Oryctolagus cuniculus: one gene and its partners. The protein of the gene in region 3 interacts with the protein of the main gene of each other region in a pairwise test. Links are inferred from orthologs where the notes say so. Each region holds a gene or a part of one and is shown on either strand. Other genes may lie near its edges.

Region 1 (3,500 bases), on a different chromosome or scaffold from region 3:
GATAGTATTTGTATGTTAAAATATAACTGCTTCACATAAAATCACTTTCTTTTTTTTTAAACAGGCAGAGTGGACAGTGAGAGAGACAGAGAGAAAGGTCTTCCTTTTACGTTGGTTCACCCCAAAATGGCCGCTGCAACCGGCGTGCTGCGACTGGTGCACTGCGCTGATCCAAAGCCAGGAGCCAGGAGTTAGGTGCTTCTCCTGGTCTCCCATGCGGGTGCAGGGCCCAAAGACTTGGGCCATCCTCCACTGTACTACCGGGTCACAGCAGAGAGCTGGACAGGAAGAGGAGTGACCGGGACAGAATCCGGTGCCCTGACCAGGACAAGAACCCGGTGTGCCGGTGCCACAGGTGGAGGATTAGCCTATTGAGCCGTAGCGCCAGCCAAAATCACCTTTTTGAACATCAATTTTTAAGTCTGACTATACTGGAAACAAATCTTTAATATTCAGAGGTTATTTCTTTTAAATTTTCTTAATATTCTAAGTAATAGATTTTTACATCAATTAGAATAAATTTGAGGATTTCTGCACCTCATAGCATATGAAAAGTACTTGAGAGTTTCACTGTAAAATAAAGGCCCCTTTGCTCAGCAACTGTAACTGGAATCAGCACAGAATAGTGGCTAGTGCTTAAAGTCTGGAATCACAGAACCCTAGATAGGAATCTCAGCTGTACTACTTACTGGCTGCATGATCCAGGACAAATTCTCTAAGCCCCTATCTCTGCATCTATGAAACAGCAACAAGACAACTTCCAAGGCTGGTTAACTGCATTCGACAGCATGTGTAAAATCCTTAAAGCAGTAACTGCTTACTAAACCCCAATAAAGATTAGTTGTGTCCAATAGTTACATATGCTTTGGGGAGAAAATTTTTTAAAACTCAAATTTGAAATAAATTTATTATGGGGCTGGCGCAGTGGCGGGTAAAGCTGCCTCCTGCAGTGCCAGCATTCCATATGGGCACCGGTTCAAGCCCTAGCTGCTCCACTTCAATCCAGCTCTCTGCTATGGCCTAGGCAGGCAGTATAAGATGGCCCAAGTCCTTGGGCCCCTGCACCGGCATGGGAGACCTGAAGGAAGCTCCTGGCTCCTGATCACCGCAGCTCGAGCTGTTACAGCCAATTGGGGAGTGAACCAGCAAATTGAAGACTCTCTCACTCTTTCTCTCTCTCTGCCGCTCCTTTTCTTTCTGTGTAGCTCTGACTTTCAAGTAAATAAATAAATCTTTTAAAAAAATAAGTTTACTTCATTTATCTAAAAATTATTTCAATTACAATAACTAAGATATATAATTGAGACATAATAGTTATTTTTAAATGATTTAAATATCTGCTCATTTAAAAATTTACCTTATTTTTTATCACAGCACGTACTTCTGTTGCAAAATCACGGGAACATACTTCTAGGTGAAATATCTTTCCACAGTTTGCCACACAAGCCCCAAGAAGCTATTAATTAAAATAAAAATTAATATACAAATGTTGAAATATCTTACTTAACTCACTGAAATAAATGCACATTTAAAATTTGAGTCAAATAGCAATGTGACTTTTACTCACAGTTAACGCCTGCAGAGCAACGTGAGGAACCTTATGATTTACTCTTTTCATTATGGCTTTCAGGCAATCTTTTGCTCTACAAAGAAATGGAGAAAGTTATCACTGAGAATTTCAATTTAAACATTAAAAATATAAGGTCTTTCATTACCAAACAGCCTTAAATTTAAAGGTAAAGTCCTTGAAACTGCACTTGTTTAAAGAAATAAATCTATAAAATTGCTTTACACAATCTTTTGTCCAGATATTCAATCATAAAAAAAAATTGCTGTAAATGTTGCACATTCCAAAATCAAAAGATCAGTGATTTCACAAAAGGCCAGCTAACACATGAGAATTACAGCATATAAACCAAGTTTTCATTTCTTCAACAGACTCAGCTTTCAGAGAGCAAATTTTTTTCTTGGGGAAAAAAATCAGAAAGATATGAGGGTACTTCAAAAAGCTCATGGAAAATAGAATGAAAATTAAATTCCTTTGGTGCATAAATTTTTAAATTGACACATACTAGTATATGGTTTTAAAAGGTTCAAGTATAAAACATGACCGTGCTATGGAACAGCTGAAATGATAAAGTGGTAGACACGATGCAGTGGGTTAACCTGCCATTTGGAATGCCTGCATCCTATACTGGAGTGTCAGTTACTCTGCGCTGCTGACCAGCTTGCTGCCAATATGTACCCTGGAAGGCAGTGGATTACGGCCCAAGTACTTAGGTTCTTGCTCCCATGTGAGAGACCCAGATGGGGTTCCTGGCTCCCAGCTTCAGCCTGGCCTACTAGTACCTGTTGTGAGCATTTGGAGACTGAACCAGTAGATTGAGCCATGTGCTGTCTTTCCTTCTCTGTCTTACAAATAAATAAATAAATCTTTAAACAAACTAACCAACCCAAATGCTTTTATCATTCTTCTAAAGTATAATCCATTCAGCTTAACTGTTGCATTCTCTTTTTTTCCACTGTTACCTATTATACTTACCTATCCATTATTGAAAAGCTTTCTCATCATATGTATTACCTATTGTATTATTATATTTATCTACTTCAATATCAAAAGCCTCTCACACATGTCTAAGTCAGAGGAAAATTCTCCAAATAATTAATCTAGTCAGTATTAACACATGTTCGTGTTGTATCAAGGCTTTAAGTATCTAATATAGCTCAGATTTTCAAATGAACCTTTCCATTTTTTATTTCAGAGTAAAAGTAATGTAAAAAAATCTGGCCTCCAGGCTTTCTTAACTTTTATCTCCAAAGTTCAATAGTAAAACCCCATTTTCCTTTCCAAGTAGCATCACTAAAATGACACAGATTTATCAAACTCCTAGACATTTACTGGCATGACTGCACATCTTACCCATTAGGAGTGCTTCCAACTTTGTCACATATGTCCATAATAAGACTCCAATCTTCTGTGGTGTTGTACTCATTCGTGGCTTTTTCTATAAGATACAAAGTCAGAAGCAAAAATTAGAGCAAAAATTACATAACGCAGTTACAAAGCCCTATCTTTTCCCTTCCCAGAGATAAAAGAACTATGGATGTACTTGAACACACAGAATATTCTGGCAATTTCAAATTATATAATTACATGTTCTTGGATTAGTCAACTTAAAAATGCTGGAGGGGAGGAGGGCATTGTGGCGCAGCAGGTTAAGCCACCGCCTGCCAACCAGCATCACAAATGAGCACTAATTTAATTCCTGGCTGCTCCACTTTGTCCAGCTTCCTGCTAAGGCAACTAGGAAATCAGGGGAAGATGGCCACAGTGCTTAGGCCCCTACAACCCATATGGGGGATATGAATGGAGTTCTGGGCTCCTGGCTTCTGTCTGATCCAGCCCTGGCCATTGTGGATGTTTGGAGAAGAAAACAACAGATGGAAGATATGTGTGTGTGTGTGTCTCCTGCTCTGTCTCCCTCTTCCTCTCTCTGCCT
Region 2 (3,500 bases), on a different chromosome or scaffold from region 3:
ACACAGTGCAGGGCCTGGTGAGCACCGATACCCTACGGCCAGCCCAGCGGGGGAGATCCCAGCGTGTGCTCCAGCCAAGAGAAGTGAGCCAGACACAGGCACAGACGGCCCGCACCTGCACCTCACGGCGATCATGAGAAAGTGGTGGCGGCAGAATTGACAAGTGACCCAGTGCACACATCCCTGTGGCAAGACTGAGAGAGAGAAACAGGAGAAAACCCACCCCGGCAGAGCCAGCACTCAGCAGACCCTGCCCGTCCTCCGCCCCGTCCTCGCGCCCCTGGAGACACGCCACAGGCTCCGACAGTCCCATGGCCATGCCCGAGTGACAGACGCCGCACGTGGAAAGTGGTGAGTTTATTGCATATGTAACAAAATGAACCTGACCTCCCGGGGCCAGCCTGTGTGCCAGTCGCTGTCTGCTTTGTGTTTCCAGCGGGCTCCATGACCACATTAAATAGAACTAGGATTTCTTTAAATACTTTTGATTTTGACATAAAACAGAACATTAGTGTACAACTTTCACAAAATAAATCAGCAATAAAAACAGTGGGAAGATTAACAAGGATAGCAGCAATACTTAAAAACAAGACATTACAAAATAAATTAAAAATACATTATAAAGTGGTTGAGAAACAAAAATAAGCAAATTTTAAAAATTCATCCTATGTTTCGGGAAGGCTGCCGTGGGCACACCCTGGTCTCCGCCTGTCCCCACAGCGTCCCCGGCCGCCGCCTGGCAGGGCGGTGGCTGGCTGCATCCCTGAGTGTCGGCTGACGACCGCTGGTGAGGCGGGCCCGGGACCGCGAGGGGACGACACACGAGATCACACGGACCCGTCCACGTGGAGCGACCGGGGGCTTGGACCAGATGCCCGCCACGGCGTTCTTTGGGGTGGTTTGAAGACCAAACCATGGTAGGAACTGAAGGCTCCGGCAGTGCAGTGCCCCGCAGTCTCTCTCGCCACGCGACCCTGGCTTCCTTCGCATACTACCGCAGGGCTGGGGCCTGGGGCCCCACGGGAAGGAGCCGCAGAAGCCGACAGGCAAGGCAGAACTTGGGAACGAGGCCCACGGGGTCGCCGGGACTTTGGAACGCATGGAATCTTCCTCCCCCTTCAGGCCCGCCTGGGCCACCTTCTACCCTGGAGCCTGCAACGCAGGCAGTGCAGAGCCCGTGCCCACCCCAGCTCCCTCCGCAAACCAGACTGCGCCTGTAGGCCCGGTAGCAGCCAGGGCGGCCACAGCGGACGCCCAGGGCCCAACTCAAAGTCGACAGCAGTGAAATGTCTTGAGAATGAACTACCCTGTACTCTTCCCCGCCCCCGCTCCCAGACAAGAGAACACACCCCCCCGGGGAACCCGTGTCCACAGAACTTGGGCCGCTTCGTGAAAACGAACACTGTTGAACTTCTATGCGCAGTGGAAATGGGCTGGAAACGTTGGGGTGGCCTGGCTGTGGCCTCGCTCCGCCCAGGAGACACCCGGGCGAGTGTGACCGTGTGCGCCCCCTGCCTGTGACACAGGGACCGGGCGGGTCTGCCTGCCTCTGTCTCCCCGCCACCCGCTGCTCTGCTCTGCGCTTTGGTCGCTTCCTCGCGTGGGACTCACTGAGAAACCTTCCCATGGGATAAAGAACGCGGCGAAGAAGGGGGAGTTGGTCTCGGGGTGGGAGACATCGTTCAGCCAGGCTCCCGGACAGGAAACAGCCCGGACCTCAGGCCCCCGGGGGGCACCAGCGGCCAGTTCCAGACCCTCAGCGGGGCCAGCGAGCCTGGCCGCCACGTGCAGGCCACCCCCGCAGAGCGTCCGTGCGACTGGGGCGAGAGGCTACGCCGGCCGCTTTATTTGATGGGTGATGGAGGGGAGAGGACTGTGACCAAGATGACGGGTGGGAGCCACCAACCCAAGTCCCTGCTCCCTCCCTCCCCGGGGAGGAGGAGGGAGACGACCCTGTCCCTTGGGTTTCCGCCATCCCAGGGCCTCCGCCCGCGCTGCGGGAGGCGCACAGACGCGTACGCTGGTCTGGTGGGCGTGAGCTGGAGTCGGTTGCCTGGGCTGCTCCTCACTCCACGGCAAACCCACAGGTCTCCTCCACCGCGGTCAGCAGCTTCTCGTAGAGCTTCTCGTAGGACTCGTACGGGGGGATGTCGATCCGGTTAAAGCTGGGGGACAGAGCGCCGGGGTCACGGGCAGGACAGGCTCAGGGGTGAGCCCAGTCCCGCCCCGCCCTCCCCCCCCCCCCCCCCAGTGCAACGGTTTCCCAGCAAAAGCAGTCTGAAGGCTGGCAGGCCCCGGGGCAGCCCCCGTGCTGCTTGGGGCACACTCGTCTTCTGTCTTTGGGGGGAGGCGCTTCTCTGTCCCGGGAATCCAGACCCCACTAACCACCTACTGCATGGTTGTCCAGTCCCCTGGGCCTTGATCTGAGACCAAAATTGTGTTCTCGGGGAGACACAAACTGCTCCCCAAAGGTGCTGCACCACCACATCCAGGCCCCGAGAGTCGGAGATGCCCGGTGGTTTCCTGTTTCCGGGGGACGTGCACTTCCCGGGCTGATGCAGAGAAAGCCCTCGGTAACACGGCTGCTCTCCTGTAACAGGTGCACGGCCCGGCGTTCAACGACGAAGCCTCGCGGTGCAGGGCTGGCGCTCCTGGAGCGTCCCCCATGGCCACTTACGCATTGAACCATCACCGCACGGAAGCCAGAGGAGAGGGGCTGGCGGGCCCGCAGGCACATCCCGGTCCTGAGCGCCACAGCCACTCTGGAGGCAGGGCCACGACGCCCTCACCCCCGGGCCTGCCTTCGTGTGTTACCCATTTCACAGATGCGGACAGTCGGGCTAGGAAGTCAGGTAACCCACCCGAATCCCACCTGGGGGCTCTCAGCTCCAGAGAGGACCCTCCAGGCCTGCGCCCTGGCCACGTGATGGTGGGCCCCTGCTCGGCTCGTCCTACAGAGGGGGCCGATGCGCGGTGTGCGCAGAGTGGGTTTTTGCAAATCCTTCGCCCCGGCTAGCAACATGTAAGCCTCAAGGGAGGAGGTCCAAGGCGGGAAACGGGGCGCAGAAACGCCCACTGTGGGAGGAGCCCCGCAGGCCTGTGCGCGCGGCAGCCAGGACGCCTCTCCTGACGTGTCCTGGGGGCACAAACACCTGAAACCCTGTGCTCACCACACACAGTCCTGCACATGCAAACAGCCGGGACCAGGCGCAGGCCCGGGGCTTCTTACCAGGTATGCGCTTTGGGGAGGTTGTCTGTGTTGGCGTCTATCAGGTGGATGGTGAACAGCCGGGGCCCTGCGGCGCCTGTGGAACCTTACGGTAGAACATTCTAGTTACTGCGCTTCAGAGGCAGGCTGTGCCCACGCCCTCGCCCACGGGCACCGTGTGCTTGGTGGCTCGGCTCCGCCTGTGTCGCGGGGACAGCAGTGCCTGGGCAGCCAGCTCACGGGTGGCAAGGGGAGCTGGGAAGGACTGGGTGGCCCAGCAGGGGGCACCACG
Region 3 (3,500 bases):
AAGTATAAATTTATTAAAAACTTACTCCCGGATCTTTTTCTCTGATCCATCTCTTCCAGGGTCATAAACTCCTTTAGGCAGATGCTGTATAAGGCCTATTCTTTGAGCTATCCTAATTTGTTCCTCTTCAGTCAGCTGAGTTGCTAGCCGAGTCTGGCTGGGTGTTGGATGATAGACTGGAACAGGAACTTGTTCCTAAATTTTTAAAAATGGAGAAAATGATTATTTTTTAAGAAAATTTCTAGAGATCATGCTTTTCCTTTTTAATGGGGGTAGGAGGCTACATATGGCAAGCAGAAGGGGTCCTGGGAGAGATAGCAAGCTGGTCTACTGTGCAGATTGTGTCTTAATATTGACTTCTAGAACAAAAAATACATAAAAAATTCACATTTAGATATGTGACCTACTTTTAAAGGATCTAAAAACAAGCAACACTTAAAAACTTGCATGGAATGTTAATTTAACTAGTTCCACATGAAGAATTTACCCAGATATGCTCATTCTGAATACACCAACAGATAAATCAATATAAACAGATCTGTCAAGCAATTAATGAACCAGACTGTACTCAATAAGCTAATTTAATATTCTATAGGTTGCGATGGAATTATGCCAGTTTACCAATTTTTTTCAAATTTATTTATTTGAAAGGCAGAGTTGGAGAGAGAGAGAGAGAGAGAGAGAGAAGATACATATAGTGAGAGATCATTCATCCACTGGATCACTCCCCAAATGGCCCCAACAGCCAGGGCTGGGCATGGCCGAAGCCAGGGGCCCAAACACTTAGGCCATCTTCCACTGCTTTCCCAGTTGCCTCCGCAGGGAGCTGGATTGAAGGTGGAGCAGCTGGGAATCTAACTGGTACCCATATGGGATGCTGGCATTGCAGGCCGTGGCACTGACCTGCCGTGCCACAGCACCAGTCCCCCAAAATGACTTTTCTTCAAGAATATTTTCTCAGTGAATTCACCTGTGGCATATGCCTCAACACTATCAATTTTTTACTTTTCAATGCAATGCTGGCCCCCGATATCATGTTCTTAAACTACCTAGTCTAAAAATTTAACACAGCCTTTAAAAAACTTTTTTTGGGAGAGGGAGGGATTACTTGAAAGGTAGACTTACAGAGAGACAGGGAGAAACAGTCACAGAGATTCATTTGAGGATTTACTTCCCAAATGGCCACAATGACCAAAGCTGGGCCATGCAGATGCCAGGAGCCAGAAATACCTACTGGGTCTCCCACTGAGTGGCAGGTGTTGCAGACAGTGGCTTACCCTGCTATGCCACAATGTAAGCCCCAAATCAAATAGGCTTTTAAAGAAACAAAAAATTTTTGTTCAGGGGCCAGCACTGTGGTATAGTGGGTAAAGCCACTACCTGCAGTGCCAGCATCCCATATGGGTGTTGGTTCGAGTCCCAGCTGCCCCTCTTCCAATTCAGTTCTCTGCTATGGCCTGGGAAAGCAGTAGAAGATGACCCAAGTCCTTGGGCCCCTGAACCCATGTGGGAGACAGGGAAGAAGCTCCAGGCTTCTGGCTTTAGATCGGATCAGCTCTGGCTGTTGTGGCCATTTGGGGAGTAAACCAGCAGATGGAAGACCTCTGTGTCTCTCTGTTTCTGTAACTCCACCTTTCAAATAAATAAATTTTTTGTTATTCAAAAGAACTGTATTTGTAACCACAATATTTAAAATTGAGCTACTTTAGTGAAATGGAATTGGGATGCAGTGTGATGTAGGAGAGAATTTTAGGTAAAAATTTCTAAGCATGCATTTTTTTGTGGTTAGATTTCTTCAGTCTTATGATTCACTGTTTATAGGGAACACAGAAAGCAGAAAAGAAGAACAAAGTTGTACTACACAGGCAGGACATTTGGCATGGTAGTAAAGATGCCACTTGGGACACTGGCATCTCATACCAGAGTGCCTAGGTTCAAGTCCTGGCTCTATTCCCTGTTCCAGCTTTCTGCTAACATGAACCCTTGGGGACAGTGGATGATGGCTCAATACTTGGGTCCCTGCCACCCACAGAGAATACTTTGACAGAGTTCCTGGCTCCTGGCTTCAGCATTGCCCAGTCATAGCTGCTACTAGCATCTGGAAATTTTAGGATGGGAGATCTCTGTCTGTTTCTTTCTCTTCCTCTCCCCTTTCTCTCTGCCCCTTTCAAACAAATAGATTTTATTGAGAGTCACGAGAGAGAATTCCCATTAACTGGTTCACTCTCCAAAGGCTAGCAACAGACAGGGATGAGGCACGTCAAAGCCAGGAACCAGAAACTCCATATGTGATTCCTAAGTGGGTGGCAGGGACTTAACATTTGAGCTATCACCTGCTGCCCGACAGGGTGCACATTAGCAGGAAGCTAGATATGAAGTGGAGCCAGGAATCAAACCCAGAAACTCCAATATAGGATGCGAGTTTCCCAAGCAACGTCTTAAATTACTATGCCACCATAAAATTCACATTATGGATATATTTGTCATTTTGGTGGTTTTGTTTTGTGTTAAACCAGTACCTTCTAGTACCTTCTCAGTACCTAGTACCTTCTCAGTACCTTCTAGATAATTAAAATGATTCGACAATTTTTTTTTTTGACAGGCAGAGTAGACAGTGAGAGAGAGAGACAGAGAGGAAGGTCTTCCTTTTTCTGTTGGTTCACCCTCCAACAGCCGCTGCGGCCAGCCCACTACGCTGATCCGAAGCCAGGAGCCAGGTGCTTCCTCCTGGTCTCCCTTGCGGGTGCAGGGCCCAAGCACTTGGGCCATCCTCCACTGCACTCCTGGGCCACAGCAGAGAGCTGGCCTGGAAGAAGAGCGGCCGGGACAGAATCCAGCGCTCCAACCGGGACTAGAACCCGGGATCTGGCACCGCAGGTGGAGGATTAGCCTAGTGAGCTGTGGCACCGGCCGACAATTTAATTTTGATTCACATGCATCTTTTCAGAAAAACACAGAAGGAAATGACTAAGGCATCCTGGTATTTAAAGATGAATGTGGCCTCACCCTTCTTACCACATACCCCTAACTTCGTATTTTAATTTCTTTTTTTTTAATTTCTTTTTTTTATTTTTTGACAAACAGAGTGGACAGTGAGAGAGAGAGAGAGAGAGAGAGAAAGGTCTTCCTTTGCCGTTGGTTCACCGCGCTGATCCGATGGTAGGAGCCAGGAGCCAGGTGCTTTTTCCTGGTCTCCCATGGGGTGCAGGGCCCAAGCACTTGGGCCATCCTCCACTGCACTCCCTGGCCACAGCAGAGAGCTGGCCTGGAAGAGGGGCAACCGGGACAGAATCGGCGCCCCGACTGGGACTAGAACCTGGTGTGCTGGCGCCGCTAGGCGGAGGATTAGCCTAGTGAGCCGTGGCGCCAGCCTCGTATTTTAATTTCTATCATATCCGTTTAAAAAAGGTGTGATATGCTTGTTATCAATTATTTAGTACGAGAAAGACACTGAGTTGAACAGATTGGAGTATAAAAGCAGCAACTTTTAAAAATATTTG
Region 4 (3,500 bases), on a different chromosome or scaffold from region 3:
AGTTTATGTAAAAGGACAAAGGAAGCCAGCCGGAGGAGTCCGCCGCGCCCTCCCGCAGGCACCCAGCTGCAAGGAGCTGTGAGGGCTGGGCCATGGCCTCCCCGGGTGCCCCAGCCGCTAACGCAAGTGCCCGACCTCCTGCTCACCCTCGCACATTCACGCCCACCCGGGGCTGGTCCCAGGGGAGGGGAGGGGAGGGTGTTCTGGAGAGAGGCAGCCCTCCACACTTTGCAGTGGGTGCGGGGGCCAAAGGTGCCAAGGGGCTTTATTCCAGGCTGCCACAGGGCCTGCTGGGCTCAAGGTCTCCGGCCACCAGCAAGCAGGCAGGGTGGCCCCCCGGGGGCTCCCTAGGGCTGCGCGGGCAGCGGCCTCTCAGGCAGGGGCACTCGGAACTACGTGTGCGCTGGGGGCGTGGGAGGGGCCGGCTCGGTCACTCCTGTCCGAAGCCCTCGGTCTCCTCGACGGCATACAACAGCTTCTCCTTCAGCTGCTCGTAGCTCTTGTACGGGGGCAGATCCAGCCGGTTGAAGCTGTGGAGAGGGGAGAGCAGCAGTCGCACCCGAGGCCTGGCCCCTCCAGCCACGCGCGCCCCAGCCTGGCTGCAGGGGAAGGGAACAGCTCACCCCACCGGGTGGCTCCCGCAGAAGCCGCCAGCGCCCAGGACCTTTAGGCTTTGGCTTCCTGGACCAGGGTGGGCGGGGCTTAGGGAGGGCGGGGCAGCCAGGGAAGCGGTAAGGGGCGGGGCAGTGGTGGCAGCGGCTCCCGGCCTACCAGGCTGGACGTGGCTCCAAATGTCACACCTGGAAGGCCGAGTGGCCCAGGCACGTCACAACACCACTCTCCAAGCCAGCACCCCAGGGCCCTGCAGCTGCTGCGCCCACTGGGCACTCCCCAGAATTCACGGGGCCTGTGCAGCTCGGCTCCTCGCAGCCAAACCAGCATGCTCACCAGGTGTGGCTTCTGGGCAGCCAGGTTTCCTTGCCAACCTTGTCGATGCAGAACTTCTGGGGTCCGTTGCTGCCTGCGGTCATTTGAGGAGAAAGGCACCTGCTGTCAGCTGAGGCACCTGGCTCTCTGGCCACAGCCCAGGTGCCCACAGGAGACCCCTGCTCCTCCCAACCCATGCCCACTGACTGCTGCACGAAGACTCCAGGCCCCCCTCACACCAGCTGGGACACAGCGGGCAAAGAAAAACCTACCGATGAGCTCGGCGAATCCCCCAACAGGCAGGCGGCAGGTTCCGGTCACAAACTGTAGCAGGCGGATCCTCTTCTCATTGTCCATCTCCTTCACCACCTGCAGCCCCACACACCAAACGCAGTCAGCGACCCATTCGGCCCAGGACTTCGTTCCCTGAGAAACCCCAGGGCCAGCCAAGGCCCCTTTGGCCAGACTGGGCAGGGCATGCCAGCCACCAACCCAGGCCGCCACAAAGGTGCTTCCCCTAAGTGGCTGTATGGGCAGAACAAGGGACACCTTCTCTTAGAGATACCTTGGGCCAGGTATTCTCTTCCTTTAACAAATGTGCTGAAGGGGCTGGCGCTGTGGCGTGGTGGCTAAGCTCCACCCACGGCGCCAGCATCCCATATGGGCTCTGGTTCGAGTCCCAGCTGCTCCTCTTCTGATCCAGCTCTCTGCTATGGCCTCAGAAAGCAGCAGAAGACGGTCCAAGTTCCTGGGCCCCTGCCTCCCATGTGGGAGATCCAGAAGACACTCCCGGCTCCTGACTGCGGCCAGGCCCACCTTCAGCCATTTTTTTTTTTAATTGTGGCACTTGGGGAGTGAACCAGCAGATGGAAGACCTCTCTCTCTCTGCCTCATCTCTACCTCTTAAATAAATATTTTAAAAACATAAAACAGAAGAACTTTTTTTAAAAGATGTGCTAAGGATGGGAGAGACTGCTTAATGGGTACAGAGTCTGTGGGGGTGAAATATTAAGACAGTGGTGGCGAAGCTACAGCATCATGAACATATTAAAGCTGCTGGGCTGTGTGTCTTTAAAGACTTAAAAAGGAGACTTGCAAATCACGCGATTTCACCCCCACAAAAACGTACACGCGTGCACACTCCGCTGGATGCGACATTTGACAATGACAACAGCAAACCCTACCCATACAGCCCAGTCTCCCTGCTGCTCCGCAGCTGCGAGCCAGCCTCCCCAGCTCACGCGGCTGAGGGAAGCCGCAGGACCGCAGGACCAGCAGGCGCTTTTCCGCCCGCGCGCAGCTCACGACCGGCCAACATGCTGGCTGCCCGGGACCCACCCACGGCTGGGCGTCTCATCTCCTTTCACAAGTTGGGAAAGATGAGGACAGGGTCAAAGAGGAAGAATCCTTGAGTCAGGCCCAGGGAAGCCCCTCTTCCTTTGGGTGGCCCCTAAACATCCCCGCAAGCCCCCTGCCCCGCCCGCGGGAACGGGCAGCACCCACCTGCCAGAACCACTGGACCTGCTTGCTGCTCTTGGCGTAGTGCCGGTACACGGTGTTCTTCTGCCAGTCGCTCAGGTCTATCTCCTGCATGCCGCACAGCATCAGCTGCGGGAGGAGAGGCGTCAGCAGCCTGTGCCAGCGACGCCCGCCTCGGCCACTGGCTGCTGCACCAGGGGCTTTAGTAACTCAGATGATCCAAGCCCTTGCTTTCTCAAAACAAGTGTCGGGGTAGATGCTAAGGACCCAGGTCAGAACCGTCTGCCTGCTGCCTCCGGTCGTGCGGAAGTGCGGGCTTCGCCGTGCTGGGGGGACCGAGGGTGCAAGGTGAACACGTCAAGGAGCAGGCTTGGGCCTCCGACACTCACCTCCAGCTCTTTCTCATCAAAGTAGCGCAGCCATTCCAGAGGGGCTACCTCGTTGAAGCCATCCAGGAAGGCTTTGGTCTGCTCTTCCACGCCGCGGGTGAAGCGCCAGTCGGTCAGCAGCCTAGAGCAAGAGACCCAAGAGCCCTGCTCAGGTGTGGCCAGGACACGGTGGCAGCAAATCCACCCCGCGTCCACTCCTGGCAGCCTGGCCCTGTCTGCGGAAGGCCCCAGAGTGCAGCCTGAGCAGCTCACAGACAGACTGCAGACGGCCACGTCCTTGGAGCCCCCGCCCCACCCTCCTCTGCTCCTGCTGCCCCACCACTGCCCGAGCCCGAGACGTGGGGACTGCGGGCACTGAAGACCCGCCTGAGAGGCCCAGCGGAGCCCACACAAGCGGGGATGCCCGCGGACAGACACAGAAATCCTGCGCTGGACAAAGACCGGCACCTCCACGCTCCCTGCCCCTTCAAGCCCGCACGCAACACAACAGCCCTCAGCCTGCAGCAACAGGCCCACGGCCAGCTCCCCGACGGCACCACTCTGGCCCTCGGCCGCTCTCAAGACAGATGTAAATGGGGCTCACATGATGTACTCCTCCTTGTTCTCCTCGGTGACGCGGATGCTCTCCCCGCCGGCCTTCAGCTCGTGCGTCGTCACCTTGCCCAGGATCTCCATGTCCTGGATGAAGTACAGCTCCAGGCCACA
Region 5 (4,277 bases), on a different chromosome or scaffold from region 3:
GAAAAGAGAGGGAGAGGGAAAAGGGAAAGGGGAATGGGGAAGGGTAGGAAGGGGGAAGGGAGAAAAGAAGGAAAGAGGGAGGGAAGGACTCCACCTTAAAATGCATCATATTAAGATTTATAACTAGACAGATTTAAAAGCATCAAAATCAAAGTAAAGCACAATTCTGTGTGTGTTTAAAGATTTAAGAGCCATTATCAAAAATAAGATACATTTTTTTCAAGGTACAGAAATGTAATTACGAGGGCTGCGAGCCCAGCAGCCTCTCAATGGCTGCATTGATGTCGCCTCCTGTTGCTATTAGAGCCTGCAAGTTTGCTTCACGATTTAAGAACCCCATTGCGTTGAGCTGTTCCAGTTGCTGCTGAAATCTGACTTCTGGATTCGGAAGCTGTGGAGGATTTGCTCCAGCCAGAGCCTGCACCATTTGCTGAATGAACTGCTGGTTCGGTCCAGCTTCTGATGTTGGACTCGTGGTTTCACTGGGTGCAGAGTTGGACACGTTGGGCCCAGTGGGGCCACCAGAGCCAGTGGACCCAGGGGTGCCTGCAGGACCAGTGGGTCCTATGGGCCCAATGGGGCCTATCGGGGTAAAAGGGACTATAGGGCCTATGGGGCCTATGGGAGTGACCGGGCCGACCGGGCCTATGGCGGTTCCCAGCACTCCCACTCCCACACCTGGAGTGAAGCTTGGGATGAGGCCAGGGGCTTCAGTGGCTAATGTCTGTAGTCCCTGCTGGATCTGCATTAAAGCCTGCATTGCTCTTGGGTTTGACATGGCTGATAGTGTGTCTGGATTCTGCATCTGCTGAAGGAAAGCTGGGAGCTGTGGACGCATCTGCTCCTGCAGCTGAGGATTTGCAGTGAATAGAGGGCTATTCAGCATCATCTGTGCAGCCAAATCTGGATTCTGGCTCAGTGACTGCATCATGCTTCTCATGTAGGGTGCAGACAGCATATTCTGAATCAGCTGGGGGTTTTCTGTTATCTGTTGCAGCAGACTCTGCATTCCTGGAGTACTGAAGATGCTGGCGACATAATTAGCTGCAGCCACGGTGTTCCCAGTAGCATTGCTGGAGCCACTGCCAGATCCACTGCCACTGCTTGTGGTCGTGCTGGTGGTCGCAGAACTCTGTGTGGCCGGTGGTGGTGCCCATGGATTAGGTAGTGGATCTCGATTTTCTGTGCGGGAAGGCTGAGTACCTTCTCCAGAGGAGGAACTGCTCCCCACCGAGGCAAACGGATTACCCCCAAACTGCTCTTGTGCGGCATTCAGCATCGGTTCTTGAATGTCAGTGTACATGCGCCGTAGTGCATTGTAGCCACCTGGGATGCTTTCGAGATTGCTGAGAGCCAGGTCTTGATTTCTCATCATCTCTTGCATCATGGCTGGATTCCTGGCGATTTCAAGGGTCTGCCTCATTATATCTGGGTTGTTGAGCAGATGACTGATTTCTGGATTTCTCTGAATCAATTGTTGCATCTGTGGATTGGCCATAATGAGCTGCCTCATCAGATCAGGATTCGAAAGCATACTCTGAACAAAGGGATTTTCCATGATTTGGATCATCATTTCAGGGCTGGCCATGAGCTGCTGCTGCATCTGGCTCTGGAGCTCAGAGAAGCTAGTAGAGCTCAAGCCTAGGCTGCTAAGGCCTGCAAGTCCTCCCAGGCTCCCCAACCCAAAAGGGTTGCTATTTGTGGAAATAGGTGTGGAGTTACTCCTGGGAGTCGACGCCGAGGTAGTAGTAGTTCCCGCGGCACTGCTAGCCTGTGTACTGGACTGGCCCTGAGGTCGATTCTGGCTTTTGATGACAAGGTGAACAGTCAGTCCATCATGGATGCCATGCTGCATCAAGGTATCTTGATCTTTTAAGATTTTTCCGGCAAAAATCAGCACTAGCTGATCGGTTTGAGATTTGAAGCGTTTCGAAATCGCTTCCTTAAACTGCTGGACCGAGCTATTTTCGGGCACTGCGAACTCCTCTTTCTCTTTGGGGGTCTTCACAGTGACTTTAATGATTTTGGGCTCGGCTGGTGTGGCGGCCGAGCCTTGGGCCGCACCAGGGCCGCGGGAGGGGCGCGGGGGGCCGCTGCTTTCGCCGTTCTCAGCCATGGCGGCCGCGGTGACGCAGGCGGGCAGGGAAGGCGCGGGCGGGCGAGACACAGCGAGGGAAAGAGGAAGGAAGGAGGCGCCGCCGCAGCGGGCTGAGTCGGGCCGGGCGGGGAGCGCGGAGCACGGTACCTCTGTGATGAGAACTGCGGTTCCCTGGTCCTCCGGTGGAGAGAGGGCTCAGCGTAGGCCTCAGGCTGAGGTCTCCGCGCTCAGGTCTCTGGGCCTCCTCCGCCGCCGCTTGTGATCCGACCGCGCGCACTCCCAGCAACTCCCGCAACCGCTCCGCCCGCTCCTCCCCGCCCCTTCCCCTCCCCCAGCTCCGCGCTCTCCTCCCCGCCCCACTCTGCTGACGCGGCGCCAGGCCCTGATTGATAGATCTGACTCGGTCAAAATTAAAAACTTCTGCCCTGAAAACAGAGGGAGAGAGGGAGAGTGGAAGAGAGGGAGAGAGAAAGGGAAAGGGGGAGAGAAACAAAAAGAGAAGAGCAAGGACTAGAATGAAAGAGAAAACAAGAAGCGAAGCAGGGAGGGAGGGAGGAAGAGAGGGAGGAGGCAGAAGAAACCAGCTTCTATAAACGACATTAAAAGACCAATGGAGAATATATGTTCGCAATCTGTAAGGCAGGAAAAGGATGAAAGCATGAATCAAACCGATCCCATATAAAAGACAAAAGATGAATAATAAAGAACTCTGACAAAGCAAAAAGGAGAGAGGACCACCCACAATGGGGGAAGGGGAGAAGACCCGGCAAGAGCTTGCATTTTAAAAACCTGTAAGTGGCCATTAGGCATAAGAAAGATGATTAAATCACTAGTAATCAAAGAAATTCAAATTAAAACAATGAAATTCTACTTTTGGCTTATTGTATTGGCAAAAGAAAAATAATGGTAAACCTCATTGACAGGGAGCTGAAAAAATGCACTCTCATGCTAGTTGAAGTGTGAATTGTTATAGAACAATTTGAAAATAAACATTAACATTTAAAATGCTTCTACCACCTTTATTTAGAAATCTCTCATCTACAGACATCTTAAAACAATTGGATAAGGATGCAAAAATATGTATTATATGGATAAGAACTGCACCATTTAAAAATATTATTTAAACATTTTAAAGTACTCTGTTTACAGGGGACCAGTCAAGCACATTATATTATATAATGAAGTAATATTTGCTATCTTTAAAACACAGGTGGTTAATTTCCTTAAAGTTGTATATGAAATAAACTATACTTACAGGGAAAATTTCAGAGTGTTTTTGCTTTTGGCTTTATATATTTCTGTATGTTAGAAACTGTACAACCATGTATATCTAAATATAAAAATACAATAAATTATTTTAGAACTAATATTTGACAATTAGTTGTATATCTAGACTGGTTGCATGCATGCATGAATGCATGTAAAAAAAGGAAAACTTTACAGGCTATACACCAATATGTTAATGATGGTAGTTATTACTGAGTGCTTCAATTGTCAATGATTCTTAATTTGCGTTTAAAAGATTTTGAATTTTCAGATGATTTTTATAAGTATGCACTTTATTTATAATTGTTTAAATCAGAAATATATTTTGGAGAAAGAGTATAGGTTGAAATTGATAAATACACAATAGTAATGGCAGATATTAACATATTTACTTCCTTTCATTAAAGATTAAACTAAGTAAAGATGTGGCAGTGCTGATGAAGAGAAATTGAATAATAGAAGAAATACAAATTTATGTATGTAATTCTAACCCTGGTTAGGACCACAGACAAAATAGTTCTGCCTTTAAGTATCTAGGGAACTTTTAACAGCAAGTCAAAATCACTGGGTCACCAACACCTTAATATATCATGATTAGAAAAATAAAGGTATGTGGTAGCCATCAATTAATAATAGAGTATGATTAATATGATACAAAATCAAAATAATAAATTTATTTTAATATATTAATATATGTATAAAAATAAAAAACCTAATTTATTAGCACATTCCAAACCATGGTCTATGGTGTTTATAGAAACACTCACATATATGGGAAATGTTCTATTAGAAATATACTACAATGATTTATTCCAAACTTCCACCCATATGGAAGAGGAAATGAAAAAGGATGCGGAAGAGTGATTAAAGGGAATTTTAATTAAATCTGTAAAAACTCATTTTATTTCAAAAA
Region 6 (3,500 bases), on a different chromosome or scaffold from region 3:
CATCCCATATGGGTGCTTGTTTGAGTCCCAGCTGCTCCCCTTCCCATCCAGCTCCCCACTAATGCACCTGAGAAAACAGCAGAAGATGGCCCAAGTCCTTGGGCCCCTGCACCCACATGGGAGACTCAGAAGAAGATCTTGATTCCTGGCTTCAGATCAACCCAGATCCAGTTGTTGCAGCCATTTAGGGAGTGAACCAAAGGATGGAAGATCTCTCTCTCTATCTCTCCCTCCCCTCCCGCCCTGGTAACTCTGCTTTGCAAAGAAATCTTTAAAAACAAACAAACTTTAAGGACTTTCCCATCAGAAACTTTCTACAAAAACAAAACAACTAAATGGAAAAAAATCTGAAATACATAACTATTATCCAAAAGAAAAAAGGTAAAAAACTATTCTGTATACATGTTTTTTAAAATAAAAATCAATTGTGATCATTCATTTTTAAAACACAGGCTCTGGGGCCAATGTTGTGGAACAGTGAATTAAGACACTGCTTACTACCCCTACATCCCATATTAGGGTGCCGGTTTGAATTCTGGCTGTTCTACTACTGATCAGCTCTCTGCTAATGTGCCTGGCAAAATGGCAAAAAATGGTCTACATACTTGGGCCCCTGCCACCCATGTGCAAGAATGGGATAGAGCTCTAGGCTCTCAGTTTTGGCCTGGCCCAATCTTGGTTATTGTGGCCATTTGGGGAGTGAACTAGCAGATGGAAGATCTCTCTGTCTTCCTCTGCCATTCTGCCTTTCAAATAAATAATCTTTTTTTTCAAATTCAGGATCTGCATCGGATTATGAATCTTTCCAGGATATGACCCACATTGTACAGAGATTTTTTTTATGCCAGCAAGGACAGTGAGAGAATGTGCACGACTATCATGTACTTAAATAAGAGAAGCCTTATCCAACATATATTTATATTAATCAATCAGCTATACATATTTGAGGTAATGGTATATAAGGAGAAAAGGTTGAACCAGGATTAGAAGACCTGAGTCCCAACGCTCCAACTCATTACATAACCTTCAGTAAGCTAGTTAACCTTCATGGACTGCATATAGTCATTTGTAAAACAAGGTTGTTAGAACAGATAGCTTTATAATTATTTACTATTTCATCTGTTGTCATAAATACATACTATTTCACTATCACAAATTCTCTATGTAAGGTTAACAAGCCTTTCACAAAGCAGGAAACAGAATTTAAGCGAAGCAGCAATAAACGGCTTTGATGAATGCCCCTCAGCTTCTGACCAGCAGAAATTATTCTATCAGAAAAGCAATCTGCCTTTAAAATATCTAACACTGGAGCTAACACTTACTTCTCTTACTTTGTTTGTCAGGCACTGTGCTAATCACTTTACGTACTTGCATCAACTCATTTAATCCTCTTCACAGCCTCATTGCAGTAGGTATTATCGTTCCTCCAAGTACACAGGGCTCAGATTAGCTTTCCCAAGGTCACACAGCTAGTGAATGGCAAAGCTGGCACTCAAACCCAGACTCCAAAGCCTATGCTTTTAACCACCTTATTATACAACCTCCTAATAAATTATGAGCCAAATATATTCTTATTTAATCTCTGCAGGTACTGATTATTCCCTTCTTATGCAATAAAGAGAAAATTGCTACAACTAATTGCCAATAAAGAAACAACTCCAAATCAATAATTTGAACATAAAGATTATTAAAAGTGTACATTTCTTAAACAGAAGTATTGTGGTTTTAGTCATAAGCAATCTTTCTTTGTAATACAGAAAACAGTAGTCACCATATCTGGTAGATCAGCAAGGATATTAAGAGGTGACATTATTATTTATTTTGTTGCCTTTAGGCAAAGAAAATTACTCTGGGGTGGGGACTGTGGACCTAGAGAGAGTTCCAAGAGAAAAGCTCTTCTGACAGCATCAATATTGGGTCCCAGTCTCACTAATGTTTCAAATTTACCTCACTGAATATCAAAAGAAAGAAACTGAGCCCTAATAACAGAACTTCTTTCTTACTATTCATGCAAGGTCACTGCAACTAGTTCATTTGCTCAATGGCAGAATAAGTGTGACTTCAATGATAATCCTCCTGCCGGTTACATAGTATTTTTAAGAAGTAGGCTAGGGCAGGCATTTACCCTAGCAGTTAAGATGCCTCTATCTCATGTCAGCATGTCCAGGCTCATTTCCCACCTTCTGTTCCCAAATCTAGTTTCCTGCTGATGTAGACCATGGTGTGGGGGGGGGGGGGAGTTTGGGGAGAGGCAGAGGGCAGGGGCAGCAGGTGATGGCTAAATAACTGTCAACCAAGTGGGAGGCCTGGATTAAGTTCCTGGTTCCCACCTTCAGCCTGGCCTCACCCTGGCTTTTATGCACATTTGAGGCATGAACCAGTAGATAGGAGCTTGCTCTCTGTCTCTTAAATACATTTTTTAAAACTGTAGGATAGGCCGGCGCCGTGGCTCAATAGGCTAATCCTCTGCCTTGCGGCACCGGCACACCGGGTTCTAGTCCCGGTCGGGGTGCCGGATTCTGTCCCGGTTGCCCCTCTTCCAGGCCAGCTCTCTGCTGTGGCCAGGGAGTGCAGTGGAGGATGGCCCAAGTGCTTGGGCCCTGCACCCCATGGGAGACCAGGATAAGTACCCGGCTCCTGCCTTCGGGTCAGCGTGGTGTGCCAGCCGCGGCGGCCACTGGAGGGTGAATCAACAGTAAAGGAAGACCTTTCTCTCTGTCTCTCTCTCTCACTGTCCACTCTGCCTGTCAAAAAAAAAAAAAAAAAAAAAAAAAACCACACACACACACAAAAAAAACTGTAGGATAAATAAAATCATCTACATACAAATCCATGCACTAGAAAATACTATGGCTTACTTTCATCTGTGCTAAGAGTCCTAAGTGAACTTTTTCTTATATGTTCTCTGTATATTTCCTCAAGACACAACCTCTCAAGTAAGCTCTCACAAAATTTCTCTCCCAGATTTTCACCCCAGAATCAGCCATTTCTGATCAGCTAGACAGTGAGAGGCATAAAAAGAACAAAGCAGGTCCAAATAATATAAAGGCATAGAGAGACAGACATCTGGAGAGGAATTCATGTTATAAGCAACTGTATCCTGCTATTTCATTTTATTCCTCCTATAGAACAAACAACAGCTTCTCTAAGACACAATGCCCTCCAACCAAAGAAAGTACTGGTTTCCTACACTGACCTTCAAACTCAATTTCAGTCTTAAACTAGGCTGTTCTCTAAAAGCTTACAAAAATTAAAAAGCTTCCCAGATCTAGTCAAAAGGGAAAAAAAATGAGTATCAGAAAATTACCCTTCTTTGATCCAACCCTGGAAGAAGCACTGAAGAATTTCTTCACTGTGGTAACTTTTCGGGTCTTCTCATTGGTTTTCTTTTCTTCAAACTTGGAAAATGTGAGAGATTGGGCCCCTTGGCTGCTCTGACTGCTGGCAAAGGCCTCTTCCTCCTCCCGTTGAAGTCTGTAATTCAAGAGACAATTAAGAAT
Region 7 (4,153 bases), on a different chromosome or scaffold from region 3:
CACACAAGTCAGAAACTCCTAAAGATAAAGCAAAATGCAGGCACTAAGTAAGTTACGATCAAAACCATTATTACTAGGAACTGTACATGATTGGATGAATTTAAAAGAAGGGAATCCCTGTGTGATGGGGGAGGTCATAGTTGCATGCTTTCAGAGTAATGGAAATGTCCATGGGAAAAGCAGGTTGTGGACACATTAGGAAGTGGAATTTCAGGCTAAGAGACTGTAGATAGCTGGGTGATAACCTCAAGTTCCTGAACCCAGTTAAAACAAAAGTGCTGGGGCTGGTGGGTGATGCTCTCTACCTGCCACACTGTGAACCAGCATCTCATACATGGGGACCAGTTCCATTCCTGGCTGCTCCACTTCTGCCAGCCCTCTGCTAATGTGCTGGGGAAAGCAGCGGAAGTGCACCCATGGGGGAGACCCGAATAAAGCTCCTGGTTCCTGGCTCAGCGTCTGCCTGGCCCAGTCCTGGCTGTTGGGGCCATTTGGGGAGTGCCTCCTTTCTCTAGGTAACTCTGCCTTTCAAATAAGTAAGTAAATCTTTATTTTTTTTTAAAGAGTTTTATTTATTTCAGAGGTAGTTACAGTGAGAGGGTGACAGAAAGGTCTTCTGTCCGCTGGTTCACTCCCCAAATGCCTGCAACGGCAGGAGCTGCACTGATGCGAAGCCAGGAGCCAGAAGCTTCTTCCTGGTCTCCCACGCGGGTGCAGGGGCCCAAGGACTTGGGCCATCCTCCACTGCTTTCCCAGACCATAGCAGAGAGCTGGATGGAAGCGGAGCATCCGGGACTTGAACTGCGTCCATATGGGATGCCGGCGCCACAGGGCGGAGGCTTAACTTACTATGCCACGGGACCAGCCCCGAAATTTTGTTTCTTGACAATAACTTTGGCAAGCAACCCTTAGATCACTCATTAATAGAAACAAAAAGGTACTCTTGTACTGCGGGCAGAATTATAAAAATTAATGTTCGAGTCTTTAATTCGTTCTGAGGCTTCACGTTTCTGTCCACACGCCAGTCTTGAGGCACTCAAGGATATCTGCAGCCTCTGGGGGCAGAAAGCCAAGGAAAGATCTGGATCTACCGCAGCAGAACCGCGGGAACGGGGACGGCGGGAATGGGTGGGGCCTTCTCCTGGGAAGGCGGGGCAGGCCGGGATTGGGCGGCGCCAGCGCGCGCGCGCGCGGCGGCCTCGGAAGTCCCGCCTCGCCGAATGTTCGCTGTTGTGTTTCTGGACGGTTCGGCGGATCGGAAGTGCCATTTTGGCGGCAGTTGTGACGTCACTGGTCTGTGTACGGTTGCTACGGGACCCCGCCACGAGTAGCCCGAAGAGAGGGGCGGAGCGCGGAATCCTAGGAATCTGCGCGGGACACCCAAAGGCTCGAACTGGGGGCTCGCGGCGGCCCTCACGGCCCCGGGAAGACGGGGGCCCTGCGCGGAGCTCGACGTCCGGCGGAAGCAGTGCTCTTCCCGGATCCCGCAGCGGCCCCGGCACTGGGGGCCCCGGAGCCAAGAGGCGCATCCCGCCGAGGTAAAGCGGAAGCAGAGGACGCGGGCCCACTCCACGCCGCGCCGGGCGCCCGCACGCCCGCACGCCCGACGCCGCGCGCCGCCGCGGCCGCGCTGTTCAACTGCCGCGTCAGACGGAAATGTTCGTGTGTTCTCTTGGGGCATGTTCGTCTTCCCGGGTATTGCTCTTTACCCGCGCCTCGGAGCGCCTGCCTGCTCCCAGACGTGTTGGATGCTCCCCGTCTCTGAATTTTTGGCACGCTGCTGAGCTTCGTATGTAAACGCGAAACTTAAATTGGTGCCCGGTGGTTGACCGAAAATACGATCCTTTTTTTTTTTTTTTTTTTTTTTTTCTGGCAGGTGTTCATGTTGACTAGGCCTTGTTAGCAATACTAAAATGGCTGTGCCCCAAGACAACATCCCTTCCCTGTCGGAGTGCCGGTGCGGGATCTGCGTGGACATCCTGATCGAGCCGGTGACCCTCCCTTGCAACCACACGCTCTGTAATCCATGCTTCCAGTCCACTGTCGAAAAGGCGAATTTATGCTGTCCCTTCTGTCGCCGCCGGGTCTCCTCGTGGGCTCGCTACCATACCCGAAGAAAGACTCTTGTCAATATGAAACTGTGGGAGATGATTCAGAAACACTACCCGAGGGAATGCAAGCTCAGAGCTTCGGGGCAAGAATCCGGGGATCTCGGTGAGTGAAGCCCAGCGTGTTGAAGACGCAGGAGTGTGTGTTCAAGTTACTCTTGGAGGCTTTGCGTTTCATGGGCTCCAGAATGTCACAGTCATGGGCATGATTGTGGCTGTTGTTACAGTGCCCGAGCTTGTGCCTAAATATTGAGGGGAGCAGTGGTGGAAGTGCGCAGAGGGAACCGCTGATTCCTGTGTTAGTATTCTTATTACATTCACTTTGTCTGTCTCTTGACTGCCTCGTCTGTACGTCCCCATCATTTCTTTTACTATTCTTTTTAGCATGCAACGACCTAAAATAGCTCTGTGTTACCTGTTCCGTCCATTTCGGTCATTTTGAGTGTGAGCTTGGGAGCCCCACGCTGCACCCCTGACTCTGCTTGTCTCTGCTCCTGTGGGCAGTGAGCCATGTCGTGTTTCCTGTCTAAGCTTTGGATGTGCTGTTCTGCTCTGGTGTGCCTACCCTTTGATTGTTTTATTGTAGTTTAAACAGATAACAGAATTTGCTATTTTTAAACAATACTCACTTTCTTAAAAAACGGTTTTCCTGGCATATTTCACATACCGTTCACCCATTTAAAGTGTGTAATGTGATGGGGTTTTGGTATGCTGCATTATTAATTTATTTAAAAGTTGTAAAATATATGCAACAAATTTTGCCATTTTAAGTGTACAGTTCAATGGCATTAATTATATTCACAATGTATTATCTGGTTTTAAAATTTTCATTACTACAAGTAAACCCTTTCACCATTAATTAATGAGTTCTTCCCCAAGATCTAAGTTACCCTTATTCTAGTTTCTGTCTCTGAATTTGCATATTCTAGATATTTCATATTAGTGCAATCATGCAATATCTTCTGTGTCTGGCTTATTTCACTTAGCATAGCATGTCTGAAGTGCATGCACACTGTAGCATTTATCAGTTACTTCATTTTTGATTAATATTTTTCTGATATATGCTACATTTTGTTTATCTGTTCATTCATTGGTGGACATTTGGAATTTTTCTACCTTTTAGATATTAGAATGCTACTGATACGAACATTTGGTACAAATATTCGTTTGAATATTTGTTTTCAGTTTTTTAGTGTCTACAGTCATACCTCTGCATCCAAGGGGTTCTACTTTTAGTATCTTGAGGATGCTAAAATTCGTGGATGCTTAAGTCTCTTGTATAAAGTGGCAGTGTATTTGCATATATAATCCATATACATGCTTCGACATACTTTAAATCATCTCTAGATTATATTTAATACCTAATATAATATAAACACTATACCAATAGTTGTATTGCTCAGGGAATATTGATAAGAAAAAGTCTGTACATTATTTTTTCTTGAATGTTTTCAATGATTGATCCCATGGATGCAGAGCTTGCAGCTACAGAGGCTGCCTGTAAGCTAGGTGTGGCATTGCTGGATCGTACAGTAATTCTATAGTTAGCTTTTGGAGAAGTGCCAGCGTTTTTGACAGTGGCTATGCTGTTGTACATTCCCACTGACTATGTGCAGGATGTCCAGTTTCTTTACATCCTCACCAGTACTTGTTATTTTCCATGTTGGTGTTGTTTTTTAATAGCCATCCTGGTAAATGTGAGGAGGTATCTTACTATGTGTTTTCTAGAATTATGATAAACATAACAGAATTTACCATTTTTAATTATATAGGTCAGTGGCATTACATACATTCACACTCGGTGCGTTCATTGGTACCATCCAGCTCCAGAGTTTTTAATCTTCCCAAACTGAAACCCCACTTTCAGTAAACATTAACTCCTCATTTCCCCTAGCACCCATCATTCTACTTCCTGTCTTTATGACATAATTTCACTGTTCTCAGTTCTTTATCTAAGTGGAATTATGATACATATTTGTCCATTTATTTCTGGCTTATTTCACTTAGCATGTCTTCAGTGTTTATCCATGTGTAGTATATGACAA

What was found.
Region 1: the proteins of RNF11 (region 3) and STAM2 interact in binary tests that used the Homo sapiens proteins (3 or more experiments, as listed by UniProt). The link is inferred for Oryctolagus cuniculus from reciprocal best matches to the Homo sapiens genes RNF11 and STAM2.
Region 2: the proteins of RNF11 (region 3) and SMURF1 interact in binary tests that used the Homo sapiens proteins (3 or more experiments, as listed by UniProt). The link is inferred for Oryctolagus cuniculus from reciprocal best matches to the Homo sapiens genes RNF11 and SMURF1.
Region 4: the proteins of RNF11 (region 3) and WWP2 interact in binary tests that used the Homo sapiens proteins (3 or more experiments, as listed by UniProt). The link is inferred for Oryctolagus cuniculus from reciprocal best matches to the Homo sapiens genes RNF11 and WWP2.
Region 5: the proteins of RNF11 (region 3) and UBQLN2 interact in binary tests that used the Homo sapiens proteins (3 or more experiments, as listed by UniProt). The link is inferred for Oryctolagus cuniculus from reciprocal best matches to the Homo sapiens genes RNF11 and UBQLN2.
Region 6: the proteins of RNF11 (region 3) and RABGEF1 interact in binary tests that used the Homo sapiens proteins (3 or more experiments, as listed by UniProt). The link is inferred for Oryctolagus cuniculus from reciprocal best matches to the Homo sapiens genes RNF11 and RABGEF1.
Region 7: the proteins of RNF11 (region 3) and RNF168 interact in binary tests that used the Homo sapiens proteins (3 or more experiments, as listed by UniProt). The link is inferred for Oryctolagus cuniculus from reciprocal best matches to the Homo sapiens genes RNF11 and RNF168.

Annotation. Positions count from the first base shown.
Region 1 is NC_091434.1:89,730,179-89,733,678, reverse strand, and holds part of STAM2 (signal transducing adapter molecule 2), read right to left. Parts: intron 3,006-3,500; coding exon 2,921-3,005; intron 1,644-2,920; coding exon 1,568-1,643; intron 1,457-1,567; coding exon 1,358-1,456; intron 1-1,357.
Region 2 is NC_091450.1:41,299,875-41,303,374, forward strand, and holds the end of SMURF1 (E3 ubiquitin-protein ligase SMURF1), read right to left. Parts: intron 3,315-3,500; coding exon 3,230-3,314; intron 2,166-3,229; coding exon 2,066-2,165; 3' UTR 343-2,065; downstream 1-342. UniProt on the Homo sapiens protein: E3 ubiquitin-protein ligase that acts as a negative regulator of BMP signaling pathway. Mediates ubiquitination and degradation of SMAD1 and SMAD5, 2 receptor-regulated SMADs specific for the BMP pathway.
Region 3 is NC_091438.1:121,670,606-121,674,105, forward strand, and holds part of RNF11 (RING finger protein 11), read right to left. Parts: intron 196-3,500; coding exon 26-195; intron 1-25. UniProt on the Homo sapiens protein: Essential component of a ubiquitin-editing protein complex, comprising also TNFAIP3, ITCH and TAX1BP1, that ensures the transient nature of inflammatory signaling pathways. Promotes the association of TNFAIP3 to RIPK1 after TNF stimulation.
Region 4 is NC_091449.1:53,031,632-53,035,131, reverse strand, and holds part of WWP2 (NEDD4-like E3 ubiquitin-protein ligase WWP2), read right to left. Parts: coding exon 3,379-3,500; intron 2,917-3,378; coding exon 2,796-2,916; intron 2,536-2,795; coding exon 2,431-2,535; intron 1,297-2,430; coding exon 1,200-1,296; intron 1,022-1,199; coding exon 949-1,021; intron 531-948; coding exon 431-530; 3' UTR 1-430. UniProt on the Homo sapiens protein: E3 ubiquitin-protein ligase which accepts ubiquitin from an E2 ubiquitin-conjugating enzyme in the form of a thioester and then directly transfers the ubiquitin to targeted substrates.
Region 5 is NC_091453.1:39,986,967-39,991,243, reverse strand, and holds the start of UBQLN2 (ubiquilin-2), read right to left. Parts: upstream 2,801-4,277; 5' UTR 2,117-2,800; coding exon 239-2,116; 3' UTR 1-238. UniProt on the Homo sapiens protein: Plays an important role in the regulation of different protein degradation mechanisms and pathways including ubiquitin-proteasome system (UPS), autophagy and the endoplasmic reticulum-associated protein degradation (ERAD) pathway.
Region 6 is NC_091450.1:66,536,570-66,540,069, reverse strand, and holds part of RABGEF1 (rab5 GDP/GTP exchange factor), read right to left. Parts: intron 3,475-3,500; coding exon 3,308-3,474; intron 1-3,307. UniProt on the Homo sapiens protein: Rab effector protein acting as linker between gamma-adaptin, RAB4A or RAB5A. Involved in endocytic membrane fusion and membrane trafficking of recycling endosomes. Stimulates nucleotide exchange on RAB5A. Can act as a ubiquitin ligase.
Region 7 is NC_091435.1:83,028,007-83,032,159, reverse strand, and holds the start of RNF168 (E3 ubiquitin-protein ligase RNF168), read left to right. Parts: upstream 1-1,353; 5' UTR 1,354-1,538; intron 1,539-1,666; exon of another isoform or gene 1,667-1,789; intron 1,790-1,876; 5' UTR 1,877-1,913; coding exon 1,914-2,214; intron 2,215-4,153. UniProt on the Homo sapiens protein: E3 ubiquitin-protein ligase required for accumulation of repair proteins to sites of DNA damage. Acts with UBE2N/UBC13 to amplify the RNF8-dependent histone ubiquitination.